Linked DNA regions of Oryctolagus cuniculus. The protein of the gene in region 5 purifies or fractionates together with the protein of the main gene of each other region. This does not show direct contact. Links are inferred from orthologs where the notes say so. Each region holds a gene or a part of one and is shown on either strand. Other genes may lie near its edges. The genes, in order: PDPK1, PAXIP1, NCOA6, KAT8, WDR5, E2F6 and SESN2.

What was found.
Region 1: the proteins of WDR5 (region 5) and PDPK1 purify together in Homo sapiens (affinity purification with mass spectrometry; 4 studies listed by BioGRID and IntAct, counting the BioPlex papers as one, with this or other methods). This does not show direct contact. The link is inferred for Oryctolagus cuniculus from reciprocal best matches to the Homo sapiens genes WDR5 and PDPK1.
Region 2: the proteins of WDR5 (region 5) and PAXIP1 purify together in Homo sapiens (affinity purification with mass spectrometry; 7 studies listed by BioGRID and IntAct, counting the BioPlex papers as one, with this or other methods). This does not show direct contact. The link is inferred for Oryctolagus cuniculus from reciprocal best matches to the Homo sapiens genes WDR5 and PAXIP1.
Region 3: the proteins of WDR5 (region 5) and NCOA6 purify together in Homo sapiens (co-immunoprecipitation; 10 studies listed by BioGRID and IntAct, counting the BioPlex papers as one, with this or other methods). This does not show direct contact. The link is inferred for Oryctolagus cuniculus from reciprocal best matches to the Homo sapiens genes WDR5 and NCOA6.
Region 4: the proteins of WDR5 (region 5) and KAT8 purify together in Homo sapiens (affinity purification with mass spectrometry; 5 studies listed by BioGRID and IntAct, with this or other methods). This does not show direct contact. The link is inferred for Oryctolagus cuniculus from reciprocal best matches to the Homo sapiens genes WDR5 and KAT8.
Region 6: the proteins of WDR5 (region 5) and E2F6 purify together in Homo sapiens (affinity purification with mass spectrometry; 4 studies listed by BioGRID and IntAct, counting the BioPlex papers as one, with this or other methods). This does not show direct contact. The link is inferred for Oryctolagus cuniculus from reciprocal best matches to the Homo sapiens genes WDR5 and E2F6.
Region 7: the proteins of WDR5 (region 5) and SESN2 purify together in Homo sapiens (affinity purification with mass spectrometry; 3 studies listed by BioGRID and IntAct, counting the BioPlex papers as one, with this or other methods). This does not show direct contact. The link is inferred for Oryctolagus cuniculus from reciprocal best matches to the Homo sapiens genes WDR5 and SESN2.

The regions. Positions count from the first base shown.
Region 1 is NC_091450.1:32,774,709-32,778,985, forward strand, and holds the start of PDPK1 (3-phosphoinositide-dependent protein kinase 1), read right to left. Parts: upstream 2,872-4,277; 5' UTR 2,727-2,871; coding exon 2,703-2,726; intron 1-2,702. UniProt on the Homo sapiens protein: Serine/threonine kinase which acts as a master kinase, phosphorylating and activating a subgroup of the AGC family of protein kinases.
Region 2 is NC_091438.1:18,780,693-18,784,270, reverse strand, and holds part of PAXIP1 (PAX-interacting protein 1), read right to left. Parts: intron 2,509-3,578; coding exon 1,821-2,508; intron 1,323-1,820; coding exon 1,228-1,322; intron 1-1,227.
Region 3 is NC_091442.1:23,283,843-23,288,164, reverse strand, and holds the start of NCOA6 (nuclear receptor coactivator 6), read right to left. Parts: upstream 2,838-4,322; 5' UTR 2,611-2,837; intron 1,582-2,610; exon of another isoform or gene 1,406-1,581; intron 1,273-1,405; exon of another isoform or gene 1,190-1,272; intron 1-1,189. UniProt on the Homo sapiens protein: Nuclear receptor coactivator that directly binds nuclear receptors and stimulates the transcriptional activities in a hormone-dependent fashion. Coactivates expression in an agonist- and AF2-dependent manner.
Region 4 is NC_091450.1:6,063,377-6,066,954, reverse strand, and holds part of KAT8 (histone acetyltransferase KAT8), read left to right. Parts: intron 1-2,521; coding exon 2,522-2,575; intron 2,576-2,685; coding exon 2,686-2,850; intron 2,851-3,512; coding exon 3,513-3,578.
Region 5 is NC_091432.1:235,834,277-235,837,854, forward strand, and holds part of WDR5 (WD repeat-containing protein 5), read left to right. Parts: intron 1-251; coding exon 252-335; intron 336-2,271; coding exon 2,272-2,327; intron 2,328-3,578.
Region 6 is NC_091433.1:191,257,142-191,260,716, forward strand, and holds the end of E2F6 (transcription factor E2F6), read left to right. Parts: intron 1-837; coding exon 838-961; intron 962-1,488; coding exon 1,489-1,538; 3' UTR 1,539-2,999; downstream 3,000-3,575. UniProt on the Homo sapiens protein: Inhibitor of E2F-dependent transcription. Binds DNA cooperatively with DP proteins through the E2 recognition site, 5'-TTTC[CG]CGC-3'. Has a preference for the 5'-TTTCCCGC-3' E2F recognition site.
Region 7 is NC_091438.1:143,412,699-143,416,276, forward strand, and holds part of SESN2 (sestrin-2), read right to left. Parts: intron 957-3,578; coding exon 759-956; intron 405-758; coding exon 222-404; intron 101-221; coding exon 1-100. UniProt on the Homo sapiens protein: Functions as an intracellular leucine sensor that negatively regulates the mTORC1 signaling pathway through the GATOR complex. In absence of leucine, binds the GATOR subcomplex GATOR2 and prevents mTORC1 signaling.

The DNA.
Region 1 (4,277 bases), on a different chromosome or scaffold from region 5:
TCCTCCTCTCCACAGGATGCCCTGTGGCCTCCCCACGACACACACCCAAGAGCAGAGCAGACCTCAGCCCCAGCTGGGGCATCAGCACTCACCCTGCCGCTCTCCACTCGCTTGCAGACTGCTGCCTCCCGGGTGTCACCGGGCGGGGTCACCCTGCTCCACACACACCAGCCACGGCAGGCGGCAGGCGGAGCGCAGCCAGAAAACCACAAGCCGCTTTTTCTGACGCTCTCTGCTTTCCCCAGCCTTTCCCGACAGACACAGCCAGCCTCGCAAAAGGCCCGCCGAACCCCCAATTCCACCCTTAACCCCACAGAGACATGTCCTTCTTCCAGAGGGACCCCAAGCCTCACCCAGACTATCAGCCCTCAGTGCAGAGCCGGAGCCGCTCTCCAAACAGCTGCTGACAGCAGGAGGCCGCTACAGGCCCCAGGGGTCACAGAGTTCAGCCATCTGCCCAGAGACACACGTGCGCTGTCCCTGCAGGCCAAGACACTCTCTCTGCCTCCATGGGGCTCCATTCCCGGGAAGACATCCTGGGTAGACGCACTGAGGACTCCTCACACCCCACACACAGAGCCGGGCTGAGCTGCCCACCCTCCCTCCCTCCCTGGCGGCCCTCACACTGGGGTCCCTGCCAAACCCCTCTGCACCTCAAGGCATCAGTGCAAGGGAGCAACACTGCCCACACCACCACAGGAGGTACCTGGCAAGGCACCTGCCCTCATCGGACTCTGGCCCACCTCGGACTCCCGGCAGGAGAGGCCAGAGCGCAGACTGCTCCCCCTGCTGGTTTCCCACTGGCAGAGGCATCTCCCACACGCCTGCAGTGCCACCCTGAAGTCTGCGTGCAGACCCCTTAGACCCATCAGGTGCCTCTGGGGCAGGCGGTCTGCGGCACCACTGACAGGAAACACGGCCTCCTCCACACGGGGCCACAGGGACTCCAGCTGCCAAAGCCGCGGGGCCTGCCACTCACTCCCTCCCCGGGAAGGCCACTTCTGCTCACGGGATGCCACGCTGCCTCGCATGAAGACACTGCATGTCAGAGTCCATCGTGTGGATGACAAGACCGCGAAACCCCGAGCTCCCTGTTCCACAGAGCCTCATACACACCCGGCGCTGCACAGACCGTGCGGAAGCTCACTCTGCCGGGCGCCGGGGTGCAGCCACACCCCCAACACGCGGACACCCCCACCCCGTTCTCAGCCTGCACAGACCGTGCCGGGGTGCAGCCACACCCCCAACACGCGGACACCCCCACCCCGTTCTCAGCCTGCACAGACCGTGCCGGGGTGCAGCCACACCCCCAACACGCGGACACCCCCACCCCGTTCTCAGCCTGCACAGACCGTGCGGAAGCTCACTCTGCCGAGTGCCAGGGTGCAGCCACACCCCCAACACGCGGACACCCCCACCCCTTTCTAGCCTGCACAGACCGTGCGGAAGCTCACTCTGCCGGGCCCCGGGGTGCAGCCACGCCCCCAACACGCGGACACCCCCACCCCGTTCTCAGCCTGCACAGACCGTGCCGGGGTGCAGCCACACCCCCAACACGCGGACACCCCCACCCCTTTCTAGCCTGCACAGACCGTGCGGAAGCTCACTCTGCCGGGCGCCGGGGTGCAGCCACACCCCCAACACGCGGACACCCCCACCCCGTTCTCAGCCTGCAGGTTTCGGTTTAATGATCACCAAGGAGCAGCTGCGGAAGGTCCAAGGGCCTCCTGACACAGTCGCAGAATCCAGTGCAGCCGCGCGCTTTCTCAGCCACGGGCTCCCACCTCGGCCACGCCAAGGGGCCCTGCCAGGCCCCGGCCCCCCGGGACTGCGACTGCAGCCGCGACGGCCTAGCCTGGCAGACGAGCGTCCAGCTGCGCCCCGGGCCTGCCTTCATGCCCAGGACTTCCTCTGCAAGTGACGTCCGACCATCACCACCGCACACAGGGCTAAATCGCCACGCACGTCCCAAGACCTCAGAGCACATCCAGACACCAGGAACGCGGGGAAAACAGAGACGCTCGACAAACAAGTGGCCTGCTCCGCTCTGCTGCCCCGGGGTCCCCTCTACCTGTCAGGCTCACTTCCCCTCGGCGATGCTTCGAGGCCCGCCTCCCAGCAGCTCCCCCCCGCACGGAACACGGCCACCGGCCGCAAAAGCATCCAAATGCCTCCCGCAGGGCCGCGAAAGCAGGGGCGACCAGACCCTCCGCACTCCCCGCCCCGGGTCGAGAATTCGCTGGCGGGGCCGCGAGCATCAGGTGCCCGGCCCAAGAACGAGCCCCCTTCTGCAGGCGGAGGCGCTGGGAAGCCGTTCCAGGCGGAGGCCTAGGGCGGCTCCTCGGGAGACCGAGCGGAAAGGTGGCCCCAGAGGCTCGCTCCAGGCTGCGCCGACTCGAAAACAAACTTTCCAGGCACTTCCACCCCGCCCGGCCAGGTGACACCTCCAGGCCTCCCCCGCCCTCCGCGCCTGTCAGCGCCCCCGGCCGGGCCGGCGTCCGCCGCCGCCAGGGCCAGGGCTGCCCGCGGCGGCCGAGGAGAGAGCCCGGCTGGAACCGACCGCCCCGGCCCGGCCGGCCGTCGCAGTGAAGGCGCCGCCCGGCCCTCGGGACCCCGGGCCGCCCCGCCTCGCCGGTCCCGGGAGGCCGCCGCGCTCCGCGGTGTAACGGGCCGGAGCGCCCCGCCCGCCGCGGCGCACTCACCAAGTGGCTGGTGGTCCTGGCCATGGGCCCCCGTCGGCGCGGGAGCCTCCTCCGCCCCGCTGCGCTACTCGGCGCCTCCTCGCCGTCCTCTTCCCCGCGGCGGAGCCCCAGCAATGGCCGCCCTCATCCTGCGCCCGCCCCGCCGCCCGCCGCCCCCGGCACCGCCCCGCCCCCGCGCGACGCCGGGCAGGACTTCCGCCGCGCCGCCGCCGCCGCCCACGCCCATTGGCTGAGCCGGTCGTCGCTCCGCGGCTCCCGGGCGGACCCCGCCCCGACCCCCGGAGCCGCATTTCCGGGTTAGGGCTCGACTGACGGGAGCGGCCCTGCCCCGCTAGGGAAGGGCGACGCCGCGCCAGCCAATCCTGGAGCTAGCGGGGCGGGGCATGGCTAGCTGTCATCCCCAGCTCCCAGACGGGGAAACTGAGGCCCGGGGGCTCGGGCCCAGAGTCAGGCCCCAGGCGGCAGCGGGGCTGGGCTGCAGCCTGCTCCGGCACTGGTTTCCCAGGTGCTAAGCGTTTGCGGAAGGGAACAGGCCCGCGTCGCCCGGGCACCCCGGGGCCACCCTCCGAACACCCACGCCTGAGCGTGTCCTGGGCTGCTCTGCTCGCTGCAGGCGCTCATGCGGGGCAGGAGGGGTTTTTACGGGGGCAGGTACACACGAAGCTGACCATGTGACCCCGTCAGGTGCACAGTTCGGCTACAGTAAGTACCTTCACGCTGGCGCGCCACGATCCCACCTTCCTCTTTTTACTGAAGGTTCGCTGTGTGGGTGTGTGCGTTTCTTAAAAAAAAAAAAAAAAATTTACTTATTTATTTGAAACAGAGAGGGAGATCTCCCTTCCATCCCCTGGCTCTCTCCCACATGGCCACACCGCCTGGAGCCAAGCCAGGCCAAAGCCAGCAGCCAGGAGCTCCATCCGGGTCTCCCCTGTGGGTGCAGGGACTCAAGCACCAGGACATCTTCTGCTGCCTCCCCAGGCCATAGCGGGGAGCAGGAGCAGAAGAGGAGCAGCTGGGATACAAACTAACGCCCGTATGGGATGCGGGCGGCACAGGCGGTGGCTTTGCCGCTATGCCACAGCACCGGCCACATGCAGTCAGAGAGGGAGACAGAGACAGAGAGATCTTCCTGGGCTGACCCAAATGGCTGCAGTGACCAAGCTTGGGCCAGACCAAACGCAGGACCCAGCAGCTTCATCTGGGTCCCACACAGGTGGCAGGGGCCCAAGCACTCGGGCCCAGGCCCTTTAGCAGGAAGCTGGAGCTGAAGTGGAGCAGCCAGGACTTGAACCAGTGTTCGTATGGGATGCCAGCCACGGGCAGGGGCTTAACACACCCCTGGTTTGCATATTTGTAAATAACCCTTTTTTTTTTTTTTTTTTTTTGACAGGCAGAGTGGACAGTGAGAGAGAGAGACAGAGAGAAAGGTCTTCCTTTTTGCCGTTGGTTCACCCTCCAATGGCTGCCACGGCCGGCGCGCTGCGCTGATCCGAAGCCAGGAGCCAGGTGCTTCTCCTGGTCCCCATGCGGGTGCAGGGCCCAAGCACTTGGGCCATCCTCCACTGCCTTCCCGGG
Region 2 (3,578 bases), on a different chromosome or scaffold from region 5:
AAGCCACTGCCTGTGATGCCAATATCCCACATGGGTACCAGTTCGAGTCCCAGCTGCTCTACTTCCAAATCTCATAACATAGCATAGAGAAGATCTCTTGTCCTCCCTGTTCCATGGACTTTCATGGGCCCTACTGGGATCTCCCCCTCATCTCTGCAAGCCACACTGTGGGCCTTTGCCTGTGCTGTTTGCTCTGTCTGAAAAATCTCCCTAAGTCTTGCTCCTACTCATCCTTTAAGACTCAGTTCAAGAACCATCTCTTCCGAAAGACTTTTTTTCAACACATCCACACCGAACAGGCTCTCATAGCACCCTGTGCCACCTCTACCCAGCATCTACCAGACTGGTTCTTACTTATTATGCATGCCTCTGCTTCCCCTACTGGTCAGTGTAGTTAGTCTGTTTATTCAGTATACATTCCCTGCATCCTGTAGTAGGCTTGGTGCACACCAGAAATGCTCATGGTGAAGTACACCTGAGATGCACTTGAAACATACTTAAAGTCAGTTTTTGTTCAATTAAAAAAAAAAAAAAACACTCAGCTTTGATTTGTGACACAGCAAGAAAATGTTCATTTTATTTTTCTTTAGAAGCCACCATGTAAAATAATAAATAAACGGACTATGCAGCAGAAGATGGCCCAAACGCTTGGGCCCCTGCTCATGGCTCCTGGTTACAGATTGGCCCAGCCCCAGCTGTTGCAGCCATTTGGGGAGTGAATTAGCAGATGGAAGATCTCTCTTGTCTGTCTCTCTGCCTCTGCCTCTCTGTAACTCTGCCTTTCAAATAAATAAATGCACTACAGCACAACAGGAATAGAAGATTTGAGGTCCTTTTTAACTTAAAAGATCCTAGGTTTTCTAACACTTTGGAGAAAGAGAAATGATTAAGACACACACAGGTTTGTAGTCCTTTCCTTACATCAGTGAAAACCTTATCTGATTCCCACACCCCCAACCGTATATAAACAACCAATGTCCCTTAGAATTTTCGAGCTGAAAAAAATCTTAATAGTCTATCTTTCACCTATTTCAGCTGAGAAAACTGAAGTCTAGAAAAGTGATTTGCCCAGGGTCAAAGAGAAAGCTAGTAATAAAAATGCCCACAGCACGTTGAGAACACATGCAGATGTGTCAGTGAATACAGTCAAATGAACATGGCTAAGTCTACAATCATGAAGGAATATCTTCACTTAAAAAGTTCTACTTCTTGTAGGCAAAGCCTTACCCTTTTCCAGGTGGCCAGCAGCTGTTTGTCAGACATCTGCTCTGGATAATCCGCAATTGCAAACACACATCCCAGTAAGAAGCCTTCTTCCGGAACTACAACAGAACCAATAGAATCATACAAGAAAAAGAAAATTAAAATCCTATGAATATGCATGCACCTCCCATTTTTAAATGGCATTTGACAGAATTAAACTTGAATTTACCAACTTAATTGGTCTTGACAATGATGTTTCTGCCAGTAATCTGAGTACATTTTGGAATATTCATACAAACATACTAGTCTGATTATCTATATTAAGGAATCACTTAAAAGAAAAACCAACTTAATTTATGCCAGACAACTATTGAATTAGTCCGAGTGGCAGCCTGGGTGCTCTATGGAACAAAACTATCCATTTCAGTATATAGTGCCTCAAAAGAAAGTACAATTATCTCATTATAATGACTTCTTTGTTAGATATGAGAGTCACAGTCTCCATTTCGTAAGAACCATTTGATATGGATCCTTACCCCACACCCTCACACACTCTTAGTGCATTTATATAAGCATAAGACTTAAAGGAGAAAGAAAAAACAATCCCGGTTACTAACTCTCCACTGCTGGATCGTGTCCAAACAGCTGATGATGCTGTGGCGGCTGCGGCTGCGGCTGGGGCTGGGGCTGGGGCTGGGGCTGGGGCTGTTGAGGTGGCAGCTGATGCGGCAGCGCCTGGGACGTCTGACTCAAGTGTTGTGCTGTCTGATTCTGCATGTGCTGCTGCTGGTGCTGCTGGTGCAGGCGCTGTAGCTGCTGCTGCTGCAGCAGGCTATGCTGCTGCTGCTGCAGCTGTGCCAGCTGGTGCTGCTGCAGCTGCTGCAGCTGCAGGGCATGCGGCTGCTGAAACGGCTGTAGCTGCTGCTGAGGGCGATGCAGTTGCTGTGGAGGATGCAACTGTTGCTGTGGAAACTGTAGCTGTTGCTGTGGAAACTGATGCTGATGGACTTGCTGCGGCTGTGGCTGCTGCGAGAACTGGTGGGACTGCTGCTGGGCGTAGGGTTGCTGGGAAATCTGCTGCTGCTGCTGCTGCTGCTGCAGCTGCATCATTTGCTGGGGCTGCAGGTGTAAAATCGGCGGCTGCTGCTGCTGCGGCTGGGGCTGATGGTGCTGCTGAAGCATGTGTGTCTCTGGAGTGCCTTTCACCTGGCTGAACAACATGGCACTGGCATTGGCATGGCCCTGCTGGCTGTGATTCACCTGCTGCTCTAAGTGTTTTGTGGGCGCTGAGAGGGACTGTAAGATCTAGAAAACAAAAGGTAGGTGAAGTCATTATCAATAGGTACATGTACTAACAGTTTCCCTCCGGTGCTAATATTCAACATAACAGAAGCACCAAAGGATTAGAAACTTCATAATGACCACATTTTTCTTATATACCTTGTATCACCAACTTTAGTAAGACAAGCAAATAAATTCATATTTTGAGATCACCAAAATTTAAAACATGTATGTAAAACCGAGTAAGCTAATGAATTAAAGATGACAAACATAAAAACTCACACCTGCGGAGTTTTGAAGAGCAGTCATAAACATTTCCTTCTAGGGCCTTGGGAGCCCAAGCCCTGGTGCTCCCTGTGATATGCTGTAGTGTGCAGCATCTCCCATCACCCATCTCCCTTTCTCCAGCTCCACAGACTTTGTGCTGAGGGGAATGACAAGTGGTAGCCACATCTACCATTCCACCTCCTCCTACCTCACGGCCCAGAGTCCAAATGAAAGGAGAGAGACCCATGCAGTAATACCATGAGCAGCTCAGATATCAGCTAAGACCGGTAAGGCCACCCCTCCCTGCCTGGCCCCCGCTACCCCCAGGTAACCCTGCTCTCTGTAGTGGGCATGCTACATAAATGGACAGACAAGACTTCAAGAGGTTTGCTTAAAAGGCAACTAAGAAATCATTATTACAGCTGGGAAATTATCTTTCTATAAAAATGACTTCGAGTTCTTCAGATGGGACAAAAATATTTCACACCAAAGAAAATCATTCAAGCCAGACTATTTCCCTTCAAGTTCATTTGGCTTCACCAAGACAAGGAGCAGGCTGACAGTTCTGTGGGTGCAAGGGGCCACCCACAGAACCACAGAACAGGAGATGCCCATCGAACTGAGTATCAAGTTGCAAGTTATTTTTATTATATCCTACACAGCACAGAATAAAACAAACTATTCAGGCTACACAATCAATTTTGTTCAACATGTTCAAATGACAAAAATTTGAAATCAATTTCTTATGACCATGGAAACCAGCACAAATAGATTTCACTAAAAATCAATCAATACAATTTAACCCTATTAAAGCATAGTTAAATAAC
Region 3 (4,322 bases), on a different chromosome or scaffold from region 5:
ACTTTATTTTGCAAGGTTTACTTTATTTGTTTGAACAGCAGAATGACAAAGAGGGAAGCACAGGCAGTAAGAGAGGTCTTCCATTGTCTGGCTCACTTCCCAAATGGTAGCAGTGGCCAGGGTTGGGCCAGCCTGAAGGCAGGAACCTAGAACTCTGCCTGGGTCTCCCATGTAGGTGGCAGAGGCTGAAGAACTTGGGCCATCCTGCACTACTTTCCCAGTTACATTAGCAGGGAGCTGAACTGGAAGCAGAGCAGCCAGGACTTGAACCAGCAGTGCGATAGCGGATGCCGATGTTGCAGGTAGTGGCTTAATCTTCTGTGCCACCACACCAGCCCCCAGATCTAATTCATTAATGTGCTGATAAAGAAGTATGTATACACATACACCCACCTCCTCACATACTTGCTTGTATTAGTTTATCATAATTTATATATTTTGATAATTGCATTTCAAATAATTGGTTTTCTCTGTAATCTAATATACTTTATACAAATAAAAATATTTTTTCTGAGAGGTTTAATAAACCTCGCCAAATAGTAAAAGGTCCCACGGCACACATAAGGTCAGGCCTCCTGCCTTAGAAAAATCTAGAAAAAACGGATTGTGTTGTACATACATACAGCATTGAAAATCCTATGTTATGAATGCCTTCATCACCTCTTTGTTGAAAGTCCTTTTTGATTACATGGTTGTCCCTTAGTTTCAGTGAAAGACGGTCTCCCTCCCCCAATACCAAAATTCAAGGCTAATTCAAGTCTCTTATAAAATGGCATAGTATCTGCATATAACCTACACATGTCCTCTCCTATATTTTAAATTGTCTCTATGTTATTTATAGTACCTAATACAATGTAAATGCTATGTACATATAGTTACACTGTACCATCTGGGGAAGCATGACCAAAAAAATAGCCTGTGCATGTTCAGTACTGATACAATGTATCTTCCTAAATATTTTCAATTGGTGGTTGTTGAATCCACAAGTGTGGACCCACAGGAATGGAGCACCCACTGGATATCATGACTGAAACACAAGGTTTCCTTCAGAAGTCTCCTCACAGTTCATGTAAACTTTGAACTCTTGCCTACGGTGATGGACCATCAATTACAGTTTGAACATGAGATTCTGGATCGCTATCCTTGTTCATTGTTGTTTCTTAGTTTTTTGTGTTCCTTTGCTGTACAGTAAACAGGAAGAAGAGAAGGTTCACCTACTAAAATGGAAGAAAATGAGAGGATTTTGAAGATAACTTCTTTGCACAAATGGAGGTGAGCGCTGATATATCAAATAGCTGGTTAGTTATTCTTTTTGGAAGCCCCCTCAGACTTTGTACAAACTCCTTACAAAAATAAAACAAATGCTTAACAGTTCCATGATATATGCTTAACACTATTCTTCCAGCAAGCAAATTCCCTCAAGACAATGAGCGAATGAGGAGGAAGCACAACCACGTCCAGGAGCCCCTCTGCCACTGAACTCCTAAGATCTCAGGGAAGCCAAAGCCACGACAAGATCTGAAAAGTATCCCATGAGCTCGGAGGCCGTTGTAGCTTTTACATATTTACTCTTCTGTACCATTCTTACTGGCTCAATTAAGACCTTTTTGATGACCTCCCCAGGTGACCCTGCTCTTAAGCAGTGGGCTGTCCCCTTCCTGTGAAGACACCTTGGGTCACCACCTCCAAACAGCCTGGTCCCTCCTTTTAAAGATACACACAACTCCATAAGTTGATGGAGGTTCTCTCCCTTCTTGCCAAGCAGTTCCACTCTCTGCACCCCCTTCTGCTGGCCAGCTCCTGCCCTCAAACCACAGCCCTCCTTTTCTCTCCCCATCAACTCTTCCGTTTTTATGATGCTCCCCTCAAAATGAGGTGAAGGCTCCGTGGGACACAAAAGTCCTTAATCCCTTAAGAGTTACAGGGGCTTGCAATTCTGTCCCCAAGATCCCAGGACTGCCCCAATTTGATACATTCATCTGTAGCAAAAAGGCCCCCATTTCTAATCAATCACCTCCTCTCCTCCCCTCCCCTCCCCTCCCCTCCCTGCAAAGACCAGCTCCAGCCCTGACAGCCTGAGCTGGGCCCCCACACCGCCTACCTGCCCTGGGGGTCTGAACACCGCCACGGCCTAACACGGCTCCACGTCCTGCCATCCCCCCAGCCCAGGGACCTCCGACCCCGGTTCCGTTCGGATCCAGTGTCCCTTCTTCGCGATCCTAGCCTCGACCCCAAGTCCGGCCCCTGCCAGTTCCCTGGGCCTGGAGCGCCACCCCGTGCAGACCCCGGCCAGCCCTGCACTCCCTCGACGCCCCGAACCCCACGTCCCGCACCCTCCCCAGCCTCGGCCGGGCCGCCGCTCCCTCCAGCGCCCCCGCCCGCAGGCCCGGGGCCCGCTCCCCAACATGGCGACGGGGACACGAGCGCGGCGGGCGGGCGGGGCGGCTCCGGGCCGGGCCCGCACTCGGGCCGTGCCGCACGACCGCCCGGCGCCATTTTCCCGCGCCGGGCCCGGGCAGCACCTCCTCCCCGCGAAGCCAGCCAGGCCGAGACCGCGGACGCCGGGCGGGCGGGCCCACCCCTTACGGGCCCGCGTCGCCGTCGCCTCACCTGAGCGCGGCCCCGGCCCTCCCGGGCGGGCCTCGGAGCGCCGGCCCGGGCCGTGCGTGCCCGCCGCCCTCCGTGCGTCCGTCCGTCCGTCCTCTCGTGCGCCCGTCTGTCCTGCCGTCGGCGCCCGGCCGCCCGCAGCCCGACCCGGCAGGGCCTCAGGGAGCCGGCGGGGAGGGGGATGGGCCGGACCGGGCCAGGGAGGGAGGGGGAGGGAGGGAGAGAGGGAGGGAGCGCGGGAGGGGGCGGGGCGGGCCCGAGGGGGCGGGGCCCTGCACACGTGACCAAACGTCCCCGGGAGCGCGTGGAGCGCGCACCCGCTCAATTGGGTGCCCGGGGCTTAAAATCTGGATCCCGCGGGTCCGCGTCTGCTTCCGGTAGTCGCTTCGCTTGTGGCTCCCACCTTGGAAGCGCTGCGCAGCTCCTTGCCGCGCTCTGGCTGAGTGTCCTGGGACATGGCAACTCTCCGAGCCTCAGTTTACCCAACTGAAATCTGGAGATAATAATAATGCTTGCAAAGCGGAGATGAAGCGCTTGGCACGGTGCTTGGCATTAACTGAGAAAGAGAACGGTCGTTACCGTTACTTGCCTGTGAGTTTCGACCCTGTGCCGTCACCACCATCTCGCCAGCAAGCTCAGTGGACAGAATTCCTGAGTGAATGAGTGCCACCCTCCCCTCCCCCAGGTGTAGCCAGGCATCCCCGTGGCACAGAGGCCTCCTGGACTTTCTCTGCCTCTCTGGACCTCGCCTTCCTCATCTGTAATGTGGAAGTTGGGGGTCTGTGCATCAGGGAAGACTGGAGACTGAGCAAGTGGGCTGTGAACTGTGGGAGCTGCTCAGTCATGGGGTCCCATCTAACAAAAGGGACTGGGGAACCCTTTCATTCCACAGACGGGTCTTGAGCACCCACTGGGCGTTTGCACTAATGCAGTAGCCACCAAATGGCCTCACACCCATCCTGGCCCACTTCCAGCCTATCACCCACTTTGTTGTCGAAGCTTCTACCTCAGAAATCTGGCCGTGTCACTCCCCTACTTAAAACTGTTGATGGTTCCACATTGCTCTAAGGGTAAACGAGTACCTGTTTTCTACCCCGCATTTCCATTCTTGTCTCAGGGCTCCCTTCTGCTCTTTGGGTTGCCACTCCAGTGACCTGTTTGGCACATTGCACTCCCTTCTCGGGACCCTTGCACACTCCACGCTCTCCCCAGGTAGATAGCTAACTCATCAGCCTTCGATCCTGGCTCAAACATGGCTACTCCAAGGCAGCCTTCACTGACCGCTCCCCAGACAAGTTCTCTTATGCCATGCACTTGTCCTTAATTAGAATGCAGTAGGTTACTACGCCTGTGCCAGTTCACTGTGGTCTACATGAAAGGGGAGCCCCGTCTGTTTTGTTTCCTCAGCACTCAGCACGGTGCCTGGCACTGAGTAGGTGCTCAGTGAGTATTCCATGTGTGTGTGTGGACCCTAGGTGCCCTGCTAGGGACTACACCCAAGAGAGCAGATACCCAAAGAGAACCACAGGCAGCCACAAGAGGGCACTTTAGACTTTTGGGTCTACAAAATTAACCAGATGGATTTAGAAAGAACCTGGGGCCTGGAAAAAAAAAATTTTGATAGTTTTTTCTTCTTTTAACTTTCAAAAACTGAGGTATAATCTGTATACAGTAAAATGCAAAAATCTTAAGTCCATATCTACTAAATGTTTTAC
Region 4 (3,578 bases), on a different chromosome or scaffold from region 5:
GAAATAGGAAAAGAGAAAATCCCAGAGCGCATAGCACTTATTGGAGGTAAGTACTGCTTGGAGAAGCTTTTACTTCACCTAGAAGCACAACGTTTGCAGGAACGCGAGCGTGGCACCAGTCCTTACTGTGGATGGGACCGGAAGGGCCTCCCAGGGTCTAAGGCAGCAGTGTCCCACTGAACTTCCTGTCAGGAAAAAAACGTTCCGTGGCCATTCTGTCTCCTGGGCAGTGACCGCTGGCCACTGGCCACGTGTGGCTCTTGAACACTATTGAGAGTGGGAGTGAACTTTTTACACTGTAACGAATTTAAACAGCCGCAGGCGCTGGTGGCTCCTGGGTTGGACAGAGCTAATCAGGTGGAAGACGGTGAGTCCCTCACTAGCTGGCACTGAACACACACTGGACACCAAGCCAGATGAGAATGGGCCACTAGTGATAAAACCCCAGAATGGGTCGTAATGGGCAAGTTAACGATCAGCCAGGTTCTTCGGAGCCTAATTAATGTTTGACTCTTAAATAAATTACGGCATTTAAGAGGAGTGTTTCTGTAGTTCTTTATTGCCTTGGCCAAAGCCGCGTGTTTGCTGGCATCCGGGAAGTGTGTCTTAACGAGGGGTAAGGAGGAGGACTTTGTGTCGTGTTGGCAGTGGTCAGGCTGTGAATCGGACAGACCAGGGACGTGTGCCCACCTGTGCTGTGTACCAGGTCTGTGACCTTGGGCAAGTGCCCTGTCACGCTGTGCCACCGTTTCCTCTCCTGTACGGGGGGAGAGCCAACGGCGCTATCTCCAGGCTCATTGTGAAGACTCCAGCAGGATCTGTGGAGTGAAATAAATGGCAACTGGCTGGTGGCCAAGGGCGGGTGACCACACTGCTCCCTGTGTGTTCACCACTCTGTAAAATCAAAATAAGAATGCTTTAGCTCAGATCGCTGAGGGGATTAGCTGAGGGGCCCGTGTTGTGGTCTAACAGGTTAAGCTACTGCCTGTAATACCAGCATCCCATATGGGCACTGGCTTGAGTCCTGGCTGCTCCACTTCGCATCCAGCTCCCTGCTAACATGCCTGGGAAAGCAGTGGCGGATGCCTCAAGTCCTTGGGCCCCTGCACACATGTGGGCTCCTGGCTTGGGCCTGGTCCAGCTCTTGCTGTTGCAGCCATTTGGGGAGTGAACCAGCAGATGAAGATCTCTCTCTCTGTCTCTGTAGCTCTATCTTTCAAATAAATAAAATAAATCTTTTATTTAAAAAATGTTTTTTTAAAGGGTTAGTTGGGCCTGTTTAGGCAGAGCGCCTTGTGAAGGGGACTTCTGGGTCAACAGTGGTCCTTTCTCAACTAAATAGGCCCCAAGCCCCTCTGGTGCAGGTTGTGGGCCTTCAAGGGTGCCCCCCCCCATTGTCCAGCTGTCGGCGGCACCTTCTTCAAATTCTGGCCCAAGAACACCATGTGCTGTGTGACTGGACGTTTACTCCCCCGCACACTCAAGACTCGGACAATAAGGGAAGCAAGCTGCTGACCACCTTGCCCCTGGCTTGGGAAGGCCGCTGTTCTCCAGAGCGGGAGACGCCGGCCAGGCTTCCTGGAGCGGGTGGGGACGACGCTGGGCCTTGGAGGCCTGGAGCCAGCACAGTGGAAACAATTACAGCCTCCAGCTCACAAAGTCCAGCTCCGTCCTGGGACCCGCCTGCCTCGTGCTGTGTGCCAGTTGGAGGAAGCGTTGTCTGCTGGCCTAAGGAAAGGGCATTCGCAAGGGGAAGGCCCTGCACGTGCAGAAGCACAAAGGCCAGAGAGTGGGTGTTAATCACTGCGGGGCTTTGCGGGGCCTGAGCCTGGGGGTTGGGGCGCTAAGGAGGCCTGGTCAGTTGTCCAGACCGGACATGGTAGGAAAGACTAGAGGATTCCAGAGCGTGACTTCAGAGATGTCAGGGAGGTGAGTTGCCATCCGCTGGTTGAGATCTTGGCCATGCTAATGGAATGCCAGGCTGAGAGGGAGGAGTCGAGAGCAGGCTCAGTGGCTGGACTCGGGCAGCTGGGCCCAGGGCGAATGCCCAGGAGGAAGGTTTGCAGAGAGCAAAGGGGCTTTCTGCGCATCTTGAGTTATGACGCTGCTGTGGAAGGGGCCTCTGGGGATAGGCCCACCGGCAGGCAGCGGCAGGTGCCCAGCAGAGGTGCCCAGGCCCACGGGGCAGTCAGCCGTGGTCGCCCTTGCCTTGGGAGACGAGATCCATCCTATCATGTGGCAGTTTGGGCAGAGCTGGGTTGCCTCACTGTGCAGCGGAAGCTCTTAGCTCCCGATCCGCGCCTTGGTCAGCTGGCAGGATGTCCCAGCACGGGCATCAGGGGTGTCTGGGCAGACAGGCGAGGCGCTCAGACCAGCCAGCCACAGACCCAGGTCAGACGACTTCGCTCCGGGTCTGGTGTATGGATGTTCTGGAAGCCAGGAGGGAGGCACCGTGGACCCTGAGATTAAGGGGCAGCCTGACCACCTTCTGTTCAGCCCTGCGCACTTCTCTTCCCTGCAGACTTACGCAGAGATGGACCCCACAACGGCAGCCTTGGAGAAGGAGCATGAGGCGGTACGCAGGGTCAGGGGCCTGCCTGGGCATTCCCTCACCACTTCCTCCCTCACCCGTGCTAAGCCTTGTGCTGTCCTTCCCCACTCCCCACCGTCCCCCTCTGCCTGCAGATCACCAAGGTGAAGTATGTGGACAAGATCCACATCGGCAACTACGAAATTGACGCCTGGTACTTCTCACCGTTCCCGGAGGACTATGGGAAACAGCCCAAGCTCTGGCTCTGCGAGTACTGCCTCAAGTACATGAAGTATGAGAAGAGCTACCGCTTCCATCTGGTGAGCTGGGCCAGGCCGGGCCCTGGGGCTGGGGGCGGCTGGGAGCAGAGAGGGGTCTGCAGGAGTCAGGCGCCAGGAGCAGCTGAATTCCAGGCCTGGCTTTGCCTTTCTGTGGGGCTGACCTTGGCCAACTTACTGCCTCCCTCCGGACCTCAGTTCCCACGTCTGTAGAGGGGTGCAGTTAACTCTTGGGCCCTCGGCCCTTTGGCCCTTGACCGCTGTGTTTAGCAGCGCCAGGCTCCTGGGTGTGAAAGAGGAAGTGAACGTCCACCCCTAGCAGTGGGACGAAAGATGTGGACGGGGATCAGAAGGTGTGGAGGGCGGTGCATGGGAACTGCACTCTCACCACCAGCATGGTGAGGGGGGAGGGGAGGGTTGCCCAGAGCAGTGAATTTCCCTGGTTCAGGAAAGCCAGGGTCATGGATAAGTGCCCTCTGGAGACCCCTAGCCCGAGTATGCGCTCTGTGCGCCCAGGAGGTTCCGTCCTCTGCAGCTGTTAGGGAGGACTCCTCAGGCTGGGTGAAACACTGACCCTGGGGGCTATGGATGAGAAAAGGGGGAGACTTGCTCGGGGCCGCACGGTGGGGTGGTGAGGGTCGTCAGGCAGGGAGCCTCTGAGTCTCAAGCCTGTGTCCCCCACCCCACCCACCTCTCACTGCCAGGGCCAGTGTCAGTGGCGGCAGCCCCCAGGGAAGGAGATCTATCGCAAGAGCAACATCTCTGTGTAC
Region 5 (3,578 bases):
CGCGGGGGCGGGGCGGGGCTCCGTGAGTGCGGGGCGGGGCTGCGCGGGGGCGGGGCGGAGCTCCGTGAGTGCGGGGCGGGGCGGGCTGCGTGGGGGCGGGGCTGCGTGGGGGCGGGGCGGAGCTCCGTGAGTGCGGGGCGGGGGCGGGGGCGGGGCTGCGCTGCGTGGGGGTGGGGTGCGTGGGGGCGCGGCGTGGCGGAGGGGGCCCTGCCTTCCTGCCGTGGGCCACTGTCCTGTCCCGCCTGCCCTAGTTTGACGAGAGCGTGAGGATTTGGGACGTGAAGACGGGGAAGTGCCTCAAGACCCTGCCCGCGCACTCGGACCCCGTGTCAGCCGTAAGTCCCCCCCACCCCCGGGACGCGGCCACTGCGGGCGTGGGCTTCCGGGGGCAGCGTCCCCGACCTGAGTCTCGGGGGAGCAGGGCCGCGTGGGGAGCCGACCTCGGAAGGGGGTTCCGCGTGGAGGTAGCCTTGCTCGTCGGAGGTGGCCGGGATGGCCCGGGCCTGTGGACACGCGGTGGACGCTGAGTTGCTGGTCCCAGCCGTGCGTGTTGTCCGAGCTGCAGGCGTGCGGGCGCCATCCCGGGGTGCGGGGCGCGCGGGGAGAGCGAAGCCGCGTGCAGTGTCCGCGGCTGCTCCGTGAGCGGGGGTGGGGCGGTGGCTCGGCCTCAGGCCTGGCCGGAGCCTGCTGCAGCGTTTTGTCTGTGGGGCGTCTGGGCCTGTGCGGGACCCTGCCCGCCGCGCTGTCCTCCAGGCATGAGTGGCGCTGAGCGGCTGGGGCGGAGGAACGCAAGGAGTGACCGGCGGGCGGGGTTAGTGAGCTTGAGGGGAGCCCTGGAGCCCCCGGTCCTCAGCTGTGGCTGCAGGCTTTTTATTACCGATTGATTTCCCGTGTCTTTGAAGGAGCGAAAGGGAGAGGCGGGTCCTCCGTACACGGCCTCATCCCCAGTGTGTCCGCAACGGCCAGGGTGAGGCCAGGCAGCCGGGGCCCTGGGTGCGGAGGACCTGAGCTCGGCACCGGGCACCTGCTCTGGGCCGCGGGGCGGGCCTAGGTGGGCTCGGGGCTGGCCTAGGTGGGCTCGGGGCGGGCCTAGGTGGGCTCGGGGCTGCCGGCGCAGTGGCCCGCGGCAGAGAATCGCTCTGCATCGGGGGAGGTGAGCGTGGCGTCCACGGCCTGGGAGAGCGGTGGCTGCTGCTGCCGGGGCCGCGGGCAGTGCCGCTGCGCCGGCCGGCTCCCCAGCAGGCGGCCCCCGCGGGGCCCAGTCTGGGAAACCGGACTTGGAGATTTCGGAGACGTAGCCACGGGAGACCCGGCACGGTGTGTGGGCGGCGTGTCGGGGTGACACGTGAAGTGAGTTGTCTGGGAGACGGGGCCGGGCGGAGCCAGGAGAACGCTGGCGCTCCGCGGGGTCAGGGAGCGCCACCACGGCGTCGCCCTGCGTGGCCTTCGCCTGCGCAGCCGCTGGGGACCCGGGGTGGCCCCGGCTGTGCCCTGCGGGGCCTTGGGTGGGCTGGCACGCGCTGACTGCCCCCGCCCTGTGCTGGGGACCTGCTCAGGTCTGCAGCTGTTTCCGGCTGCCCGGGACGGCCCCGCAGTGCCAGGAGAGTGTCCTTGGCGTCGGCAGCTGCACGGGGAAGCCGGTGCTGAGGCCCGGCCCGACGGTTGGGCCAGGGCAGTTCCAGAGGTGCCCCTTGCAGAGAGGCGGGCCCTGGGCCAGCCCTGACGGACCCTGACCCTTGACCTCGTGAATGACAGCCGCAGGCAGCCGGGGTCGTCACTTATCTCCGTCGCGGTGACCCCCGCTCCTTGGGTTCCACAGGAGGGGGTTGGGAAGCAGCGTGGGTCAGCTCCTGGGGTCTGCAGCCAGGGCGAGTGGGGGGCTTGGCCCAGAGGGTCCTGGATCTCGCTTCTGCCACTGTGCGGGGCCTGTGCTCGGCGGTGGTCTGGCCGTCTGGACGGCTGCAGGCAGGTGCAGGCGCGGAGTGCGGGGAGACCCACGTGCCTCGGGTCGTCGGCCCCACGTTGCCTCGTTGGGCTGACCCCAGCCGGGCAGGCGGGGTGTTTCCTGTCGCTCCCCATCACTGCCCCGGGATCTCAGGGCCCGAGACAGCAGCTGGAGCCGTCGCTGTGCCCGCTTGACCCCTTGTGTGTGTCGCCTGCGGCTGGCCGGGCCCGGGGCCTGTGCACCGCCTCTGTCGTGCGTCCGTGCAGGCAGGAAGCGGCCTGGTGATGACCTGGAAGTACATCTGCCGACCCCACTTTCATTTTCAGGTTCACTTCAACCGTGACGGCTCGTTGATCGTCTCCAGCAGCTACGATGGTCTCTGGTGAGTGGGCGTCTGTCCCTTACCAGGGCTCGGCTCTGCTGTTCCGAGCTCGGACCGCGCGGCAGAGCCGGCGGCCTGGAGCTACCAGCGGCTTTCCTGCCGGGGGCTGCCGGCTTCGGAGGCCCAGAGGCGCCGAACAGGCTGGGGCGGGCGGCGGTGGGGCTGCGGTCTGGGGCCCCTGCTGTGGCGAGCCCTCAGTGAGAGGAGGGGCCTGGGGGCGGGGCTCTGCCGCGTGTCCAGTGGGTAACGCCCGGGCGTGGGCGCTGTGTGTCCAGGAAAATGCAGCAATGCTTCAGTGGTGCCCAGCGGGTCCGTGACGGGGGCTGGCGTGGGCCACGGGGGCCGCTGCTGGCTCGGTTGATGAGCCCGGTCGAGAGGACGTGCTGGCTAGGGAAGGGCAGAGGGGGCCCTGGGCAGACAGCCTGGGGGGAGGGCCCTGCTCGGAGCTGGCGAGCTGGGGCTTTGATGAACTCGCCCGCGCCTGTGTTGCTCTCGCGACACCCTTGAGCGCAAGGGGAGGCAGGTGCACAGCCGAGAGAAACTTCCCACAAGTGGGCCTGGCGGGCAGGTGGGGGACGCGGAGCCGAGACCGCGGGGCGCTGACACCCAGCGCTCTGCCTCGCTGCCCCCGGCCTCCGCCCCACGCAGAGCCGGACAGGCCAGGGGCCCTGCCAGGCCTCCGTCCCAGCTGCAGCCGGCCGGGCGCCGAGCCCTCCTGGAGGCGCGTTCCGTGAGCCGGCTGCACCGTGGTGCTGGCCTGGGTGCTGACCAGACAGGCCTACAGGAAGTGCGTACCTGGCCCTGGCCTGCCCTGGCCACCGTCTCCCGGGGACCAGGTTTCCAAGGAAAACAGCAGAGGCCGGCCGGCATGCGTTGAGGGTTGTTGACGGAATCAGGAGAGGAGAAGCCGTGGGTCGGGAGCTGCCTGCAGCGGGACAGCCGGGCCCAGGCACGCGCTGGTGCCACAGAGGGCGCAGAGGCACCGGGAGGCCGGCGCAGTCGGGCGAGCGCGTGCCCGCGCCCCTGCCTGAGTTCCCTGCCGGACCGGGGGACGCAGCCACACGGGCGTGGACGAGCGCCGTCTCTAGGAGACGGGTTCTGGTGTTCAAGGATCAGAAGCCCCCCGGTGTGGGGCAGCTTCCAGACACCAGCGTAGCCCCCGGTGCGTGCTGGGAGCCGGGAAGCCAGCCCGTGCTCAGCGGGCCTGGTGGGCCTGGGGGTGGAACATGGACGTCCTCCTGGGCTCCTGTG
Region 6 (3,575 bases), on a different chromosome or scaffold from region 5:
CAATCTTCCCGGGCCGCCCATGTGCCACTGGGAAGCCGTGGCAGGGACGATGGCTGAGTTCGGAGACTCCCGAGATGCAGCGTGTCCCCCAGCTCACAGAGGCTTGGAACAGGAGGGACAGCCGGGTGGAACGCCAGCCTGGGCCTGACGAGTGACGCCAGAGGGGGAGAGACGCCGCCTGTTGTGCAGTTGCACGTGAGAAGGCAAAGGATTCGCGAGCACAGCCGTCCCTGGTGGACTCAGCGAGGTTTCCCGTGGACGCGCCCTAGCTCGTGGGGAAGCTGTCCTAGTGAATCCTGGGTAAACGCGGCTGAAGCCGCACGCTGTGAGCCGGTGGTTTGTGTTAGTCCTCAGTACAGTTGGCCCCTTGTGTTTTTCACGTCTGAAATTGTGCGTGGTCTGTTTTGACTTGCTCTGTTCCTCTGATTCTTTCGACTGGACAGAGGAAAGGCCCCGAGGCGTCTCAGTGCTGCCTCCCGGTCTGGAAGTCCACACTCGCCCCCCCCCCCCCACCGCCACCGTGCAGGGCTGGGGGGTTCTCCGGTTCTTTGTCGTCAGATCGCGGGTTTTAACTCAGGTCCGTCCTGGAGGCGGCAGCTCCTCAAGGCGGGAGAGGTTCTCGAGTGCTGAGGCGTCTGCACGCGGTGGCTCGGAGCCTGTACTCCTGGGTAGCAGCCGGCTCCACCGCGGGAGCACCGGTGGCTCACGGTGTGACCAGCTGAGAACCTGCGCGGTGGGAGGGGAGCTGCTTCTGATGTAGGTTTTCAGGAAGGTCCCGGGAAACTTGCACGGATCTGGTGAGCGAGGCACTCCCGATGCTGTCCTTGTCCCCGCCAGGACTCGGTCACGGTGCACATCAGGAGCACCAAGGGGCCCATTGACGTGTACCTGTGTGAGGTGCAGCAGGACCCCCCGAGCAGGAAGGCTGCCAGAAGCAAGGGTCCGGAGCGCCCCGAGCAAGGTAAACGCACGCCCTTTGTGGCTGGGAAGATGGAGCCCAGCGGTTTCAGTGTGTGTGACTTTGAGTGCGCTCTGTGACCTTCAGGTACCTGTCCTCTTCCTGTCCGCAAAAACCTGAGTTAAAAAGTAAGCCCCGGCTGGCGCCACGACTCACTAGGCTAATCCTCCGCCTTGCGGCGCCGGCACACCGGGTTCTAGTCCCGGTCCGGGCGCCGGATTCTGTCCCGGTTGCCCCTCTTCCAGGCCAGCTCTCTGCTGTGGCCCGGGAGTGCAGTGGAGGATGGCCCAAGTACTTAGGCCCTGCACCCCATGGGAGACCAGGAGAAGTACCTGGCTCCTGCCATCGGATCAGCGCGGTGTGCCGGCCTCAGTGGCCATTGGAGGGTGAACCAACGGCAAAGGAAGACCTTTCTCTCTGTCTCTCGTCTCTCTCTCTCACTGTCCATTCTGCCTGTCAAAAAAAAAAAGGAAGCCCCTTCTCCTCTCAGACCCTCACTGAGGCGACTGCTCTCCTGTGTGCCTTTTCAGAAGAAAATCCGCCCCAGCAAGGGGAAGCGTTGCCTGAGACGAACAACTGAGGGTGTTTGAGTTCACGGACTGCGCCGTCGCGAACGTCCCGGATGGTTAACTGCGTCACGTCCGAGCAATAAATCCTCCCCGACGTGCGCTCAGCACAGCATCGGCCGCGCTGCGCAGGCCACTGCCCAGATTGCTGGGTGATCTCGGTTCCTGCATCCGGCGACTCAGTGACGTGGGCAGCTCGCCTCCCGAGACTCGGGACACACGGGCAGCGGAGCTCCGGGACACGGCCCTCCCCGCGAGGGAGGAAGAGGTTGCCTTATACCGCTTCGTGCGTGCGCTCGCGAATCTGACTGGTCTCTGCAGATCTGTATAACGGCGAAGTCTCACGAGCTCTGTCCAGGTGACGCATCGCACCCTGTACAGCCCAGATAACGCGCACGCGGGCAGTGGCGGACAGGCGCCCTCGTAGCTCGGGGCTCTAACTTGCTAGGCCCCTCTGGGTGCGGGTTACAGGAGAGCTTTCCCCGGCTTCTGCGTGTGGAAGGGCCGTGGCTGTGCTCCACGGTTGAGTCCTCGGGTTTAATTAAAGTGTTTTAATATGGAGCCCAGGGTTCACGCTGGATACAGACAGCGGCTGACCTCAGCTGCTGCAGAGTGCCCGTGTCCCAGCGGCTCGTGGTGCAGGTTGGAAGCCGAGCTGTTCTGCAGACCGGCTCTGTGCACTGTTCTGTACTCCGTGCGCAGTGATGCCCCGCCCCCTCAGCCCTGGCCCCGCCCATCCAGCACCTGGCTCTTCTACCTCATGGGGCGAGTCACTCACCCCCGTGCCTCAGCTTGCTCAGTCGTTGGCCACTCTACTGTGAGCCCCCGAGGGCCTTTGTCACCGTCATCGTCCGTCCCAGCGCTGGGCAGCGCCCCGACCTGTAGAGTGCCCCCTGCGTGTCTGAGCTGGCAGAGTGAGGGTTGGTGACGCCTGCCTGCGGCAGGTGTGTGTGCTGGGCTTTGCTGGCGCAGGGGTCAGCACCGCAGCATCCACGCACACCCTTTCACAAGAAGTTGTTAAAACAAGCCAAAGAAAAGCACAGGGCACTGTCCGTCGTCATTGGGCTAGCTGGGGATTTTTTTTTCTTTTTGATAGTATAGGAACAATGGGTATAGGGTGAACGAGTTTTAGGCTTAATGAAAATGAGGATTTGGGCAAGGAGTTTGTGTGTCAGTCGGTGCCCACCCCATGTATTGGGTTGGACAGATGTCAAGTTCAGGTTCTGTGTGAGAGTTTACACTGGGGTCACGTCGAGAGAATGCAGAAGGGAAGAGAACCAGGAATACACGGACATTTAAGAACAGAAGAAGGAATAAGGAGAGGAAAACCGGGGAAGGGGGTGTCCAGACAGCAGGGGGGCACTGCCGAGGCCGGGAGTCCTGCTTCTGGTGGTCCCGGGGTCGCGCGGGAACGTGCGGGCAGCAGTCCCCTGCGTGTTTGTGTCTTCTGTAAATGAACATCTTGCCACCCCGTCTGCTGGTGTTCTGCCTCTTCTTTTCACTCCCGCCCATCCCAAGCCCCTCCCGCCTTGCTTTCAGAGGCCCCGTGTTTCCCGGGTCTCCTCTCCGCTGAGGGCCACACCTCTTCGTTTTGTTTTTTAGCAAGAGTTCCAGAGAGGGAGAGACAGAGATCGTTTGCCTGCTGGTTCACCCTCCGCCTGGCTAGTCCAGGCCAAAGCCAGGAGCTTCGTCTGTGTCTCCCACGTGTGCGCAGGGCCCCAGACATCGGGGCCGTCTTCCGCTGCTCTTCCCAGGCCATTAGCAGGGAGCTGGATCGGAGCAGAGCAGCTGGGACATGGATGGCGACGCACACCTGACACACCGGACACTGCAGGCCTGCCCCAGGCTCACTGGCTGATCTTGTCACACCTCGCTGGCCCCTGCCACACCCCGTCTAGTGCTGGAAACCGTCTCTGCGCCCTTGCTCTTCTCCGACCCCAGCCTCCCCTGCCTCAGATCCGCATCCCGGCCGCACCCTGCCCTCCGTGTCCTCCTGTCCTGCACGCGGCCTGTGCACGGCTCTCGGGAGTAGACGTGTATCTGCAGGGGCT
Region 7 (3,578 bases), on a different chromosome or scaffold from region 5:
CAAAGACGAAGGAGGCCAGCGAGTGGCAGTGGGTGAGCAGGACCAGGGCCTGGATGAGTTCAGCCAGGGACCAGCTGTGCTCGCCCGTCTTCAGCAAGGCCTGCAGGGGAGAGAAGGCCGGGCCTGCTCAGTGCCTGCCATGGGGCTGCTGGCCAGGCTCCAGCCAGGCCACGGCCAGGCCCCTGCGCTCCCTCGGGACCCCACCTCTCTGCCCACCACACCTGGATGTGCTCCTTGGTGATGAGCCACGGCCGATGTGCCAGGAGCTTATTGATCTCGCTGAGTTTGCGCAGCTTCTCAGGGGCCCGGTGGAGGCCCAGCAGCCACTCAGGGTCACCGCCAGTCTGCAGAAACTCGGTCATGTGGGAGCCCACAAGGTAGGAACACTGGTGGCGGGCGGCAGCCTGCAGGGGCGGACAGAGCCTGAGTCACCCTCCTCCTCTGGGCCTCGCTCAGGGTGAAGCCAGCACAGTACCCTGTTGCTTAAAAGGTGGGCAATCTAGATTCTAACCCCACATCTGCCACCAGCTTGGAGCTCACCTGACCTCCTTGCACCCCAAGTTTCTCAGTCTGGAAAGTCGGCATCTAAGATGCCTGTCTTCAAAGCCTCCAATTCTATGGCCACTCAGGGCTTTCCTGGGCTCTAAACCCCTTTCCTCCTCATCTGGGAAATCAGCTCAGGAGGCCCCACAAGGAGATCCACAGCCAGAGCCCCACCTGTGGCCAGTCCCACAAGCATCAGGCCCAGAGCGGCTCACCATGATGGCAATGTAGTGGCGCCAGGAGCTTGCCAGGGGCCCGTCCGTGTGTAGCAGCAGGTAGTGAAGGCGCCAAAAGCTGCTAAGGTAGTCAGGGTGCAGACTCATCACCACCGCCAGGTTGTCCACCCGCCCTGAAGACATCAATGCCTCCAGCCCCAGGTGCTGCTCCAGGCTCTCAGCTCCCTCCCGAAGCACCTGCCAAGGCAAGGGGAGGAGAGCATGGGTTCCCAGCTACAGAGACCAACACATACTGGGCAATGGGTGAATTACAGCAAGTAACTCAAAACCACCACCTTGTTCAAAAAGAGGGGGAGTGGGGCGGAAACACATTTCAGTAAATAAACACTTATCAGGCACTTCATATATATGATAATAGCCAATACTTGGGGCCCAAGCTATGGTGCAGCGGGTTAACGCCCTGGCCTAAAGCACTGGCATCCCATATGGGTATCGGTTCTAGTCCTGGCTGCTCCTCTTCCGATCCAGCTCTCTGCTATGTCCTGGGAAAGCAATGGAAGATGGGCCCCTGGGAGAGCAGGAAGAAGCTCCTGGCTCCTGGCTTTGGATCAGCACAGCTCCAGCCGTTGCAGCCAACTGGGGAGTGAACCAGAGGATGAAGACCTCTCTCTCTCTCCCTGCCTCTCCTCTCTCTATGTAACTCTGACTTTCAAATAAATAAATAAATCTTTTAAAAAATAGCCAATACTTATATAATGCTTACTAAATGCCATGCACTGTGCAAGCACTTTATATATATATTTTTTTTTTCATTTAATCATTATAAGTATGAAATTGGAGTTCTACTTTCTCCATTTTTAGATAGGAAAACTGAAACAGAGATTAAGAGTACAGTTTCTTGGCCGGAGCCGTGGCTCACTTGGCTAATCCTCTGCCTGCAGCGCTGGCTCCCCAGGTTCTAGTCCCGGTTGGGGCGCCGGGTACTAGTCCCAGTTGCCCCTCTTCCAGTCCAGCTCTCTGCTGTGGCCCGGGAGGGCAGCGGAGGATGGCCCAAGTGCTTGGGTCCCTGCACCCACGTGGGAGACCGGGAGGAAGTACCCGGCTCCCGGCTTCGGACTGGCGCAGCGCCAGCTGTAGCAGCCATTAGGGGAGTGAACCAACGGAAGGAAGACCTTTCTCTCTGTCTCTCTCTCACTGTCTATAACTCTACCTGTCAAAAAAAAAAAAGAGTATAGTTTCTCTGAGGTCAGTGTTGTGGAGCAGGGGTTAGGCTGTGGCCTATAACGCCGTATGTTCCAGGTCAGCCATGCTTCCGATCCAGCTCCCTGCCGATGCTCCCGGGAAAGCAGCGGAAGACGGCCCACGTGTTTGGAGCTCTGCCGTCCATGTGGGAGACCCAGATGAAGTTCCAGGTTCCGGCTTTGGCCTGGCGCAGCCTAGGCCATTGTGGCCATTTGGGGAGTGAATCAGTGGATGGAAGACTTATTTTTTTTTTTTATTTCTCTCTGTCATTCTGTCTTTCAAACAAATGAAAATAAATCTTTAAAAAAAAAAAAAAAGAAAAGAATACAGTTTCTTCTACCTTCAAGGAGATTCTGTTCTAACACGCAAATGCACATAACCACGGCAGTGGGTGCAAAACAGGTCACATTATCTGTTTTGTCCACGTCAGGTCTGATTTAAAAGTTTACCTGTATGATCTCATTGAATTTTTTTTGAAAGGGGTTAGTTTAAAAAAAAAAATATTTGAAAGACAGAGTTACAGAAAGAGAGAAAGAGAGATCTTGAGAGATCTTCCATCTGCTGGTTCATTCCCCAGATGGCCTCAATGGCTAGGGCTAGGCCAGACCGAGGCCAGGAGCCAGGAGCTTCCTCCAGGTTTCCTGCATGGGTGCAGGGGCCCAGGCAGTTGGGCCATCTTCCACTGGTTTCCCAGGTGCATTTGCAGGGAGCTGGATTGGAAGTGGAGCAGGCAGGACATGAACCGGCGCCCACATGGGATGTCAGTGGCACAGGTGGCGGCTTCACCTCTACTCCACAACAAAGGCCCCGGGGTCAATGATTTTATTTTTGTAAAATATTTATTTATTTATTTATTTGAGAGGCAGAGTGACAGAGAGAGAGCTGGACAAAGAGAGAGAGCTCCTCTCTGCTGGCTCACTCCCCAGTGCCTGCAAATAGCTGGAGCTGGGCCAGAAGGAAATGCAATCTACATCTCCAATGTGGGTGGCAGGAACCCAATTACTTGAGCCATCACCATTGCCTGTCAGGGTCTGCGTTAGCAGAAAGTTGGAGCTGGGACTGGAACCCAGGTACTCCAATGTGGGATGCAGACCTCTTAGCCATCCCTCATTGAATCTTTTCAATAATGCTTTGAGGTAAATACCATTATTTCTCCCTAACAGAGAGGAAACCAGACAGGTTTCACCCTCTTCTGTAGGCCGTAGTTCGCATAAATGACAGAAACAGGATTCAAATCCAGATGATTTCTAAATCCCATCTCTTTCCTTTATTATAAAGTAGAGTGGTTAGTTATAAATTAGAATATAAAACACAAAAACAATACTGGAGCTTAAAACCCTGGGCAGGGGGCCAGTGCTGTGACACAGTGTGTTAAGCCACTGCCTGTGACACTGGCAGCCCATATTACAACACTAGTTTGAGTAGGGGCTGCTCCACTTCCAATCCAGCTCCCTAATGTGCCTGGGAAAGAAATGGGTGGCCCACATGCCTGGCCCCTGTCACCCATGTGGGAGACCCAGATGGAGCTCCTGGCTCCTGGCCCAGCCTGGCCCAGCCCTTGCCATGCGGCCCTTTGGAGAGTGAACCAGCAGATGGAAGATCTCCATCTCTCTTGTC